Linked DNA regions of Canis lupus familiaris. The protein of the gene in region 1 purifies or fractionates together with the protein of each later gene. This does not show direct contact. Links are inferred from orthologs where the notes say so. Each region holds a gene or a part of one and is shown in the gene's direction. Other genes may lie near its edges.

The links. Proteins that work in one complex are often made in the same cells at the same time.
Region 2: the proteins of CCNA2 (region 1) and RBL2 purify together in Homo sapiens (affinity purification with mass spectrometry; 3 studies listed by BioGRID and IntAct, counting the BioPlex papers as one, with this or other methods). This does not show direct contact. The link is inferred for Canis lupus familiaris from reciprocal best matches to the Homo sapiens genes CCNA2 and RBL2.
Region 3: the proteins of CCNA2 (region 1) and SCAPER purify together in Homo sapiens (affinity purification with mass spectrometry; 3 studies listed by BioGRID and IntAct, counting the BioPlex papers as one, with this or other methods). This does not show direct contact. The link is inferred for Canis lupus familiaris from reciprocal best matches to the Homo sapiens genes CCNA2 and SCAPER.

Annotation. Positions count from the first base shown.
Region 1 is NC_049240.1:19,143,209-19,146,962, forward strand, and holds the start of CCNA2 (cyclin-A2), read left to right. Parts: upstream 1-1,431; 5' UTR 1,432-1,716; coding exon 1,717-1,929; intron 1,930-2,705; coding exon 2,706-2,949; intron 2,950-3,754. UniProt on the Homo sapiens protein: Cyclin which controls both the G1/S and the G2/M transition phases of the cell cycle. Functions through the formation of specific serine/threonine protein kinase holoenzyme complexes with the cyclin-dependent protein kinases CDK1 or CDK2.
Region 2 is NC_049223.1:61,549,195-61,552,848, reverse strand, and holds part of RBL2 (retinoblastoma-like protein 2), read left to right. Parts: intron 1-300; coding exon 301-465; intron 466-990; coding exon 991-1,102; intron 1,103-3,654. UniProt on the Homo sapiens protein: Key regulator of entry into cell division. Directly involved in heterochromatin formation by maintaining overall chromatin structure and, in particular, that of constitutive heterochromatin by stabilizing histone methylation.
Region 3 is NC_049251.1:40,246,269-40,249,382, forward strand, and holds the end of SCAPER (S phase cyclin A-associated protein in the endoplasmic reticulum), read left to right. Parts: coding exon 1-36; intron 37-2,326; coding exon 2,327-2,430; 3' UTR 2,431-2,603; downstream 2,604-3,114. UniProt on the Homo sapiens protein: CCNA2/CDK2 regulatory protein that transiently maintains CCNA2 in the cytoplasm.

The DNA of each region.
Region 1 (3,754 bases):
CACACACAGAGGCAGAGGCAGAGGCAGAGGCAGAGGCAGAGGGAGAAGCAGGCTCCATGCAGGGAGCCTGATGTGCGACTGGATCCCTGGTCTCCAGGATCACACTCTGGGCCGGAAGGCAGCGCTAAACCACTGAACCACCCAGGGATCCCCCAATTTGCAACTGATTTCACTCTTGCTAGGTAATGTTTTGTGACCCGTGCTCAGTTTGTGAGCTTGAGTATGCTCAGTGCTATAAATTTTGGCCAGGGAAATGAGCAGAGCTGCACAGATTGAAGGGATCTTCACTTGCTGTCCTATAACCAGTAGAACTGTACAAGGCTACTACATGTGAATAGTGCAGAAATAGTGATGGCCTCTTAGATTTTCCTGCACTAGTGTCCACTGACTTGTTTTATCATGTAGAGAGGGAAATAAGACTTTAAAGCTACAGAAGTTTTATTCACTAATGTTAATTCATGTTTCTTCATACTCAGGAGAATATTGTGTTTGAAGATTGTTTTAAAATGGCGTAAAGATTATATAATCATGTTTTTAAGAAGGGCATCCTCATGAATTTGTCAGAAAACAAGGTCTCTTAATTCTTTACCATTATATTAATATATGCAAGCCTTGTTTATTAAATCTGAGAACTTGTTAAAGGCACATATCACTGAGAGTTTTATTTTAAAAGGTCATGTTGTTTTTATTTAAACAGCCTTCATTGCCAAATGGAACAAAATTCTGTATCTATGTCACTAGAAATTTCACTGGGTGCTTTTTGTTGGCTGGCACAGCTGGGAAAAGCATCAAAATTAGTGACTGTCTAGTTGAGTTTCTTCCAGTACATTACTATTTGTTTATATATATGTATCAACAGTAGTTAAGGTAGCACCTACCTAATCACATCTTCATGAGGTGAATTCGGAAGCATGACTGAAGAAACCCCTAAATGATACATGACAGTACAGTCCACACTCGAGGATCAGTAAGCAAGCATGTTAATGATTTACGCACATTACATAATCACAACAGCCATACGACATGTAGCATTTTACCCCCAATTAATAGATGAGAACACTGAGAATCAGAGACGTGTCATCACGGGGCCCGCCTACCAGGCCGGTTCGCGGCTGGGTCGGATCCGAGCTTGGGAGACCAGTCAGTCCAGCCAACTGAGGGCCCCACGGCCAGCGTTAGGCAGGCGCGGCCACTAACAATTGCTGGGGTTTGACTCCGTCGGTCCTAGAGACAGCCGCGGCCCAGCACCCTCGGGTCACCAAGTGGCCCAGTTTAGTCACTAGAAGTTCAGGCCCCGCCTCTTTGGCCGGCGCAGGCGTTTTCCCTCCCGCCGCCTTTCGGCGTTTCTCCGCCCCCGCTCCGTGGCCTTCACGGCTTCCTTCATTTGTCTGCGACCGTGTCGCCTTGAGTGACGTCAGGGGCATCGGCCCTTCCCATTGGCCCATTTCAATAGTCGCGGGATACTTGAACTGCACGAACAGCCGCCGCTCCGGCGGGCTGCTCGCTACATCTCGGGGGCGTCTTGAGCCCTCCACGCCCGGCAGTTCCTGCCTGAGCCTTTCGCAACGTCCTCGGAGCTGCGCGATCCCGAGCGAGCAGGCTGGCCCGGACTGCCGCGGGCGGCTGCGGCTGGAGCGTTTCTCGGCGGGGTCGGCGGGACGCAGTACACGCTGCTTGGCGCCGCAGGCTGATCCCGCCGCGACCCGGGGAGCAGTGATGTTGGGCAGCTCGGAGCCTGGGCCTGAGGCCCGCGAGGCGGGCTCGTCGCTGCTAACGTTGCAGCATACGGCGCTCCAAGAGGACCAGGAGAACATCAACCCCGAGAAGGCGGCGCCCGCCCAGCAGCCCCGGACCCGGGCCGGGTTGGCGGTCCTGAAGGCCGGGAACCAGCGCGTCCCAGCGCCGCAGCAGAGGCCCAAGACACGGCGGGTAAAGAGATGAACGATATCTGCAGGCGAGGAGGGCCGAGCGGGAGTTTTGCACGAGGTTTGAGCAGGCCGGGGAGCGTGGCGAGAAAGCATCTTCCGAGCTGTTGTAAGGGAGGCCTGGGTCTGCAGTCCCCTTGATGCCTAGTGTTCTGGCGCGGGGGATGCCACGTAAATCTTTCCCATAGCTCTCTTCGCCAGCGCTGTGTGTTTTGCTCCCTGTCTGCTCTTTATTTGGTATATTTTCCGATAGAATATGAGGGTCAGACCGAGCACCACGACGTATGTCCGCGCTTTCTTCGCCGCTTTAAACCCCAGGCACTGCCCTAGGATCTGGACCCCCTTCCTGCTCGCCATTTGGTTAAGATTACCTTTACTTTAGGAAAGAGTATAAAAAATAATTTTTTTTTACTAAATTCCGCCATTTTACCGGATTTGCTCTGTTGCTCCACCCTGGGGCCAAAGCGGTGAACCAACACCTCTTTGCCGGCTCTCCTAAACTTGTCATCATTCAGCCTGCTACCCCACTCCTCTTGTGGCCTTGATTAGTTTTGCATAAATGCATTTAGTGTGATTCTATAACTTATGTAGAAATGCCGCTAACGAACTTGAACATCCCTTTCTTCAGCTATTCAAACTTTACTGCCTGGATTTTGTCCCAGATAGTTTAATTTCCTTAGAGTATTTGGGAGTGAAAACAGAAACTGAGAACCGTAAGGGGAAGAAAGCAAGCAGAACTCCATTTAATAGGCTCAAAGCTAGCTATTCATTTCTTTTTAGGTTGCACCTCTTAAGGATCTTCCTATAAATGATGAACAAGTCACTATTCCTCCCTGGAAAGCAAACAGTAAACAGCCTGCATTTACCATTCATGTGGATGAAACAGAAGAAGAGACTCAGAAGAGGCCAGCTGAATCTAAAAAAACAGAACATGAAAATGTCCTGGCTTTTAATTCAGCTATTACTCTACCTGGACCAAGAAAACCGCTGGTACCTCTTGATTATCCAATGGATGGTAGTTTTGGTAAGTTTTAAAGAACATCTGTATCAAATCAATGTAATCCTAAAGTGATTATGGATTAATGATAGTTTCATTTTAAGACATTATTTTACCTGACCCTTACTATATAATGAATTTGGTGTAATGTAACAAAGTTTAGAAAGGGTATGATTCATCTCCGATCTCACAGCTCATACATTGACCTAGTGACCTATAAATCCTAACTGGGTGCTCCTTCCTTCCCATATTACTGCCAATCACATCAATTTAATTAGATCTCAAACCCTTATTTTAATCTGACCCTGGAAATATTTGCCTGCTTGGGAGAATAGATTTGAACCGTATTCATAAACTCACTGTGTACATACCACTTACGAGAGTATTTGAATAGGATACAGCTTTCAATATTGTGATATCTAACATCTCTTACAGCTTAAAATTTTCTGTAAATCCAGTCTGATACCAGAGAGGGACACTGTCCTCCTGTGAGGCAAGAGTTGAATCATGACTGCAGCTAACCACATATAAAATGAAGTAGCTGCTATAAAGCAAGCTCTGCCAACAGTTTATGCGTGCAACTTCTTTACCATACATAGATAGGTCTGTTGAGTCACTGGATAATTCATTCGTTTCATCTCATTTAGGTTTTAGTTCTGAGAAGTGGTCTGGGAATAGCAGGAAAATCCTTTGGAAATAAAGTAATTTTTGTATTTTTCTTGAAAATTTATAACAAACTTTAACCTTACAATGAAACTTGAAAAGAGTAATGAATGATATTCTTTGCCTCAAAAAGTAATTTAAAATTACAAAACATGAAACATTTGGTGAT
Region 2 (3,654 bases), on another chromosome or scaffold:
GACAGTCACACAGAGAGAGAGAGAGAGAGAGGCAGAGACACAGGCAGAGGGAGAAGCAGGCTCCATGCACCGGGAGCCCAACATGGAATTCGATCCCGGGTCTCCAGGATCGCACCCTGAGCCAAAGGCAGGCGCCAAACTGCTGCGCCACCCAGGGATCTCTATTTTTAATTTTTGATGAATTATCTGTTGTATCTATAAATATGTAAAAAATGCAATTTACCCATTTTTGCTTCACACTTAATAAATGCATTTTTAGTGACAAAAATAATTATTAAACCAGGGCATTTTTTATTTCAGGTGATAGAAGTATTCATTAGAGCAGAAGATGGTCTTTGTAGAGAAGTGGTAAAACACCTTAATCAGATTGAAGAACAGATCTTGGATCATTTGGCATGGAAACCAGAGTCTCCACTCTGGGACAGAATTAGAGACAATGAAAACAGAGTTCCTACTTGTGAAGAGGTTTGTGAAAATACCTTAACATCTTTCTGTAACAAAAGTATAACAGGATCTAATCTGTTTATATTCTTGTTTCACGGAGAGCAGTTAAACTTAGTATCTCCCTTATGGGAAGTGAGAGGGTGGCCATTGGGTTTAATATGGTATAGTCACCCCTGTATCTAAGAAGAAACCCCTAACTCTAGGAGTCAGAAATAATGTGTGATTGCTTCAAGGTTTCAGTGCCAGAGTAAGAATTCAGCATTCTCTCTTAATTTTCTAGTCAAGTCTCTGTACTTTAGAATGGCTGGTATTCTAATTATCTAAATCAGTAATGAAGGCTGAATCATATTTAGAATTCACCTATTAGCTTTGAATTTTTTTAAGCTTGCCAGACCTTTTCAACTTCAGTATGAAACTGGAAAAGACACTGATTTTATTTACATTAAAGAATTGGTGAGCCAAGTTTCCTTTTGCCTTAGATTGTGACTGTATTTCTAAAGAAAATACCTTTTTGAATAATGATACTCTGTATATCATTCTTTATAGGTTATGCCACCCCAGAACCTGGAAAGAGCAGATGATATTTGTATTGCTGGATCTCCTTTGACTCCCAGAAGGGTGAGTGAAGTTCGTGCGGATACTGGAGGACTTGGAAGAAGTAAGTTTAAAATATTAGGAGGGGGGCACCCAGGTGGCCTAGTTGGTTGGGTGTCTGCCTTCAACTTGTGTCATGATCCTCAATGGGATTGAGTTCTGCATTGGGCTCCCTGCTCTGTAAGGAGCCTGCTTCTCCCTCTTCCTCTGCCTCTCTGTCATGAATAAATAAATAAAATCTTAAAAAAAAAAAAATACTAAGGGGAGTATTTGGGAGCCTAATATCTGAGAATTGAAATTCTATCTGAAACTAGAAGTGAAATTAATAGGGTTTAAATAAAAGAAATATTTTGTGCATTATTAACTGGAACCCTCCCCTAGAAAGCCTTGTATAGCCAGAATAAGTTGAGTATTATAGTACCACATGGATCACTTAAAAGTAGTGCTTTTGAAATATATTTAAGAACACAGGAAGATACATGTAATAACAAGTGACTTTAAAAAGAGAATACTATATATTAATATAACTATATATTAATACTATATATTAATATATAATACTATAATTAATATTAAATAAAGAGAATACTATATAATTAATTATAATTAATATATTAATAATATATACTAATATTAATTAATGTATCTTAAGTGTGTGTTTATTATATATAAGCATACAGAAAGGCTAAAGAAAACCAAACTGTTAAGAAATATTGGTTAATAGAATTCCAGGTGCTTTCTGTAAATTTTTAAAAATAAATATGTATTTCTTTTAAAATCAGAAGAGGGGTGCCTGGGTGGCTTAGTTGGTTAAGTGTCCAACTCTTGATTTCTGCTCAGGTTGTAATCTTGGGGTCGTGGGATTGAGCCCCATGTTGGGATCCGTGGTTGACACAGAGTCTACTTGAGCTTCTCTCCTCCCCTTCCTACAACTCTCATGTGCTTGCTCTCTTGCTCTCTCTCAAATAAATCTTTTTTAAAAAGTAAAATCAGGAAAAAACAAAAGCTTCTTAAAGATAGAGTTGTATGATGCAACTAGGTATAGACAAGCTGATGAGTTAAAAGTACTGAATGGCCAGAGCATGTTCAGCTTTAACTCTTGTCAGTTGAGCTGTGCTACACTGGTTTATAGGACAGCAGTGCTGGCCCCAGAAATACAGAAAAGAGAAGTTTCACTATTCATCTGGTTCTATTTAGGCAGCTGCTTTTTTTTTTTTTTTTTTTTTAAAGTAATCTCTATGCCCATCATGGGGCTCAAACTCACAACCTGAGATCATGTTCAATAGGCTGAGCCAGTCAAGCACCCCTTCAGGTTGTTCTTGTAACATCTTCCACATGCAAGGTTTAAGTTTACATAGTTAAGACAAAACTGCTTTTAAAAAGCAATTTTGTAAATTCAGAGAGTTCTAAATCCTTACGTGCCATTAGAAGGATATTATTTCTAGATGAACCTTTTAATGTAATTGATAAGCACTGGTTATAGAAAAAAGATCAGATTTAAAATCAAGAATCAGTGCATACTCAATAACTATGGATAATCTATATGAAAATTTCCTCATTTTTTGGAAGAGGAATCATAATGGCTTAACTATTTTTCTGCCTGTTATCCATCTTAGACACAGATCTGACAGCTGGTCTTCCTCAGTCCTGTTTCTATAGAGTTTTTCCTTCCCTAATCTGTGGATTTAGGACCTGACTTTAAACTCATTTTCTTGGGCAGCCCCTGTGGCGCAGCGGTTTAGCGCTGCCTGCAGCCTGGGGTGTGATCCTGGAGGCCTGGATTGAGTTCCACGTCGGGCTCCCTCTGCCTATGTCTCTGCCGCACTCTCTCTCTCTGTGTCTCTATGAATAAATAAATAAAATCTTAAAAAAAAAAATAAAGATTAAAAAAAATAATAATAAACTCATTTTCTTTGTACTTACCACTTCTCCATTTTCTTGAGGTCTCTTAATGCTTTACAAGATAATGATCCTAATGCATTCTTTCCAATTGTAGGTTTGTTCCAAATACAAATCTAGTAAGTTTATTGGGTTTTGTGCCATTGGAAAATTAAAATGTTAAGCTATAGTCTGTCACGAGTACCCCTATCCTCTTATGACCTCCCTACCTATATTTTTAAATTAAAAACAACAATTGATGTGCAGTTGGAAGGAATGCTGCTTAAAAATTCAGCCACTGATGTGCATATTTAACAACAGACTGTGCTATAATGTTTATAGGGGTTGTTTATGTTTAGGATGACAAAGTAATTTGGGAAATAGTGGTGATGGTTGCACAATATTGTGAATGGAATTAATGCCCTGCATTGTACATACAAAAATAGTTCAAATGGCAAATTACATGTTATATATATATATATATATATATATATATATATATATATATATATATATATTAAAAAGGTAGCAATATACCAGATTCAAAATTTGGTATACCAAAATTTGAATACCAAATTCAAAGCATTGAATTGTACAATTTAAGTGAAATTTATGTGAATTATGCATTAATAAAATTGTTTAAAGAATATAATAAACTAAGCTTAATTGAGTCCAAAACACATATATCCATTTTTGCTGAAGAACATTGAGTTTTAGTAATTTTCTATACATGGAAAA
Region 3 (3,114 bases), on another chromosome or scaffold:
CAGGTCAAGCAGACACCCGGGCCCATCAGCCCAAAGGTACGTCTCTCATGACATGAAATGTGTGTGTGCAGCTGGACAGACGTGTTTCTTCCTCTGCCCTCTGGGACCACACAGAAACCCGTTTACCGCCCCACCTAAGACATGTGGATGCACACACCGAGTGTATTTCAAACAGTAAAGAAACAGATTTTGGCACCAAGCATAAATGCATCCGAATATACAGAGAAGTCTGTGGAAGTAAAAGCACAAAACATCTTTATGTAATTCATATGCACCTCATGCAAGATATAATAAATGGTGAATAATCACTTCATAATACGGGAGACAAGCAGATCGTTAACATTGGCCGACGATCGTTACTCACAGAAACGCTACAATCACATCGGTTTGCTTCCCTATGTTTAGAATAAAATTATTAATAATAGTCGCCCATATTTTCCCCCTAAATTCAAGTGCTCGGATATTTTTAATTAAAAATTAAAAGTGTAAAACTGTGTTACTTGGAGAAAAAGCCATCAGACTAACAAGAGCCCAGAGGCCAAAAGATTTACAAGTCCCCCCCCCCCCCCCCCGCAGTGTTCCCGCTGAGGCGTTTGCTATGATCAGAGCTGGAGATGTAGAATTTTAAAGTGCATTTTTACGCTTTTCAATATTCTACACACGCTGTAATTGAGAAGCACAAGTTGCTCTTTGTCTGTCAGGACAGCGTCTCTGATTAATGAGACCCTAATACAGATTTTCCCCAAGTCGTCCATCAAGTGGCCGAGGCCCACTCCCAGCAGGACTGTCTAGGGCGCCCACCAAGTGGCCCTTGCTTGGCGGGTGGGGAGTCGCCCTGGACGGACAGATGGACACACACACACACACACACACACACGCTAATCCTCTGTAGTGGGCAGGTGTCGAAAAGTACACAGGAAAGAATACAAAGCTGTAACAATATTGTGGAAAAATGTCATGTTTTATTGGTTCAGGCATTCGGAGAAGTAAACGGACAGCTATGCCTGTCTTCAGGAATTCCAGTCAGCATCAGAGTCGGTACCATTTGTATCTAAGCCAGAATTAGTGTGCAAGTTCAGGTCTGTCCTGACGCACTCACAGCCCTTTTTTTAAAAAGAAAGAAAAAAAAAAGGCAGCAGCAGCTATTGGAGGTTCTGTGGGAGAAATCTGTATAAATGGTTACTGTGTCTTAGAAAACAATGTCTTAAATTTTGAATATATGAAAATGCCTTGAAAAGTCTTCTAATGTATTTATTTTTAAATGTACAGCAGGGGTTTGTTTGTTTTGTTTTTTTTGTTTTTTTTTTTTTTTGCCAGTAAGAAGCTTAGCCATTCTTTTTTCTTCCTTTCTCCTGACTGTAAGGATGAGTCACCATTTGCTTCAAATCTGGCAGGCAGGAGTCCCAAGAGCTGCCTCTGCTTGGTGGGCTGAGGCCTGTGGGAGTTTCAACTTACTTTCTTCTCCAAGGGCCATTTTCTCTGACTTCCATGCTTTCCCCAGGTACAATGGGCTTAAAGCACTAAATGGCAAATGGGGACCTGTTCTCTGCATTTGTCAGAAAAGGTCATCATCATGTTCCTGGGTGACAGCCCCTGATGTGCTCACTTGGTTTAAAAGAAATGACTACGCCCCACGAAGTGCCAGTCTGCGCTTCGGACATCTGTTCCCCTTTTGCTTAGATTGAGTCCCCGGAAAACGTTTCAAGGCCTTTTGAGTTCACTGCCCAGGTGAGCCGCGACAGCTCCGGGTAGCGCCGCACGCAGTCTCCATGACAGAGGACCTGCTGTCGGGGCGCCCGCTGCTCGTCCCTGCCGGCCACGGGGCGGTTTCCTTTGCCTGCGTCAGTAATAAGAAACTCGCTCTCTCTGCTTCGTTAGATGACTGAATGCCAGATTTCAGCATTTTAAAAGTTGACTTAAAGTATTTCAAATTAGACCGATTTAGAGGACAGACATCAAGCTTTCATATCTACCCTTTCAAGGCTGTCTTACGGATTGAATGAATGCCATTTTACCTTGTTCACCGTGCTTATTTTCCCCTTTTCTTACTCTGGAGTCCAAAAACACTTTTTCGTCATGTTTTACAGAGGGATTAATGCCTGAATATGTTAGAAGCACAAAATAAATTGTGATTAAAAATATATATATATAAAATGCTACGGGTGAATGTAGGTGGACGGGGGTCGCCTTTACATAAACGCGCATTATGGTCTATTCGAAGTGCACGTCCCTGTTTTGTAGTCCGATGTTGAAATAATTCCAATTGCTTAAACTTCAAAGAATCTAACTTCTCTCTCTCTCTCTCTCTCTCCCCTCTCTCTCGCAGGCAAATCCCTCGGTTCCCAAGACTATCTTGAGCTGGCCAACAGATTTCCCCAGGAGGCCTGGGAAGAAGCGCGACAGTTCTTTTTAAAAAAAGACAATAAATGAACGGCCTGGTTGGCCCGTCGGGCGCCCGCGGAGGCTCTGAGTGTCGGGACCAAGGCCTGAGCCCGGCTCCCTGCTCGGCGTCCCCAGGGCGCTCGGCGTCGAGATGTGGGTGAAGTTAGACTAAACTGGCGAGTCTGTTTCCTTCTTGTAATAAAGTAACTTATTCTCTTTGCGTCCGTGGCTCTTCTTGCGGAGGCGGCACGAGGGGGCCGGGCGGGGCCGGGCGGGGGCGGGGGGGGTCGGGGCGCACCTGCCTCCCCGGGGTCCGCGCAGGTGCCCCCCCCCCCCCCCCCCGGCCGCGGGGCAGAGACGGGGCTGCGCTCGGGCCGCGGGGCGCCTCCTCCAGGACGGCCGCCGGGCTCTTCCTCCGCGGCCCGGGGCGGGGGCAGGGGGCTCGGGGCTCGCGCCCGCCCCCAGGACAGCAGCGCCCCGACGCCCGCGGAGCATCCTCAGGGCCGGAAGGGGGGGCGCGGGCAGGGGGAGGGCGCGGGGGGCGGGGAGGGATGGAGGGGGGAGGGGCAGGGGATGGAGGCGGGGCCGCCGCGGAGCAGCCGGTGCCCCGAGAGCGCAGCGCCCCGGCCCCGACCCGCCGACCGCCCCGGAGCCCCCGAGCCCGCCCCTCCGGCCCGACTGCGCCCCCCGCACCCGCCGCGGCCCAGGGCGGGGAGGACCGGCCACCTCGGG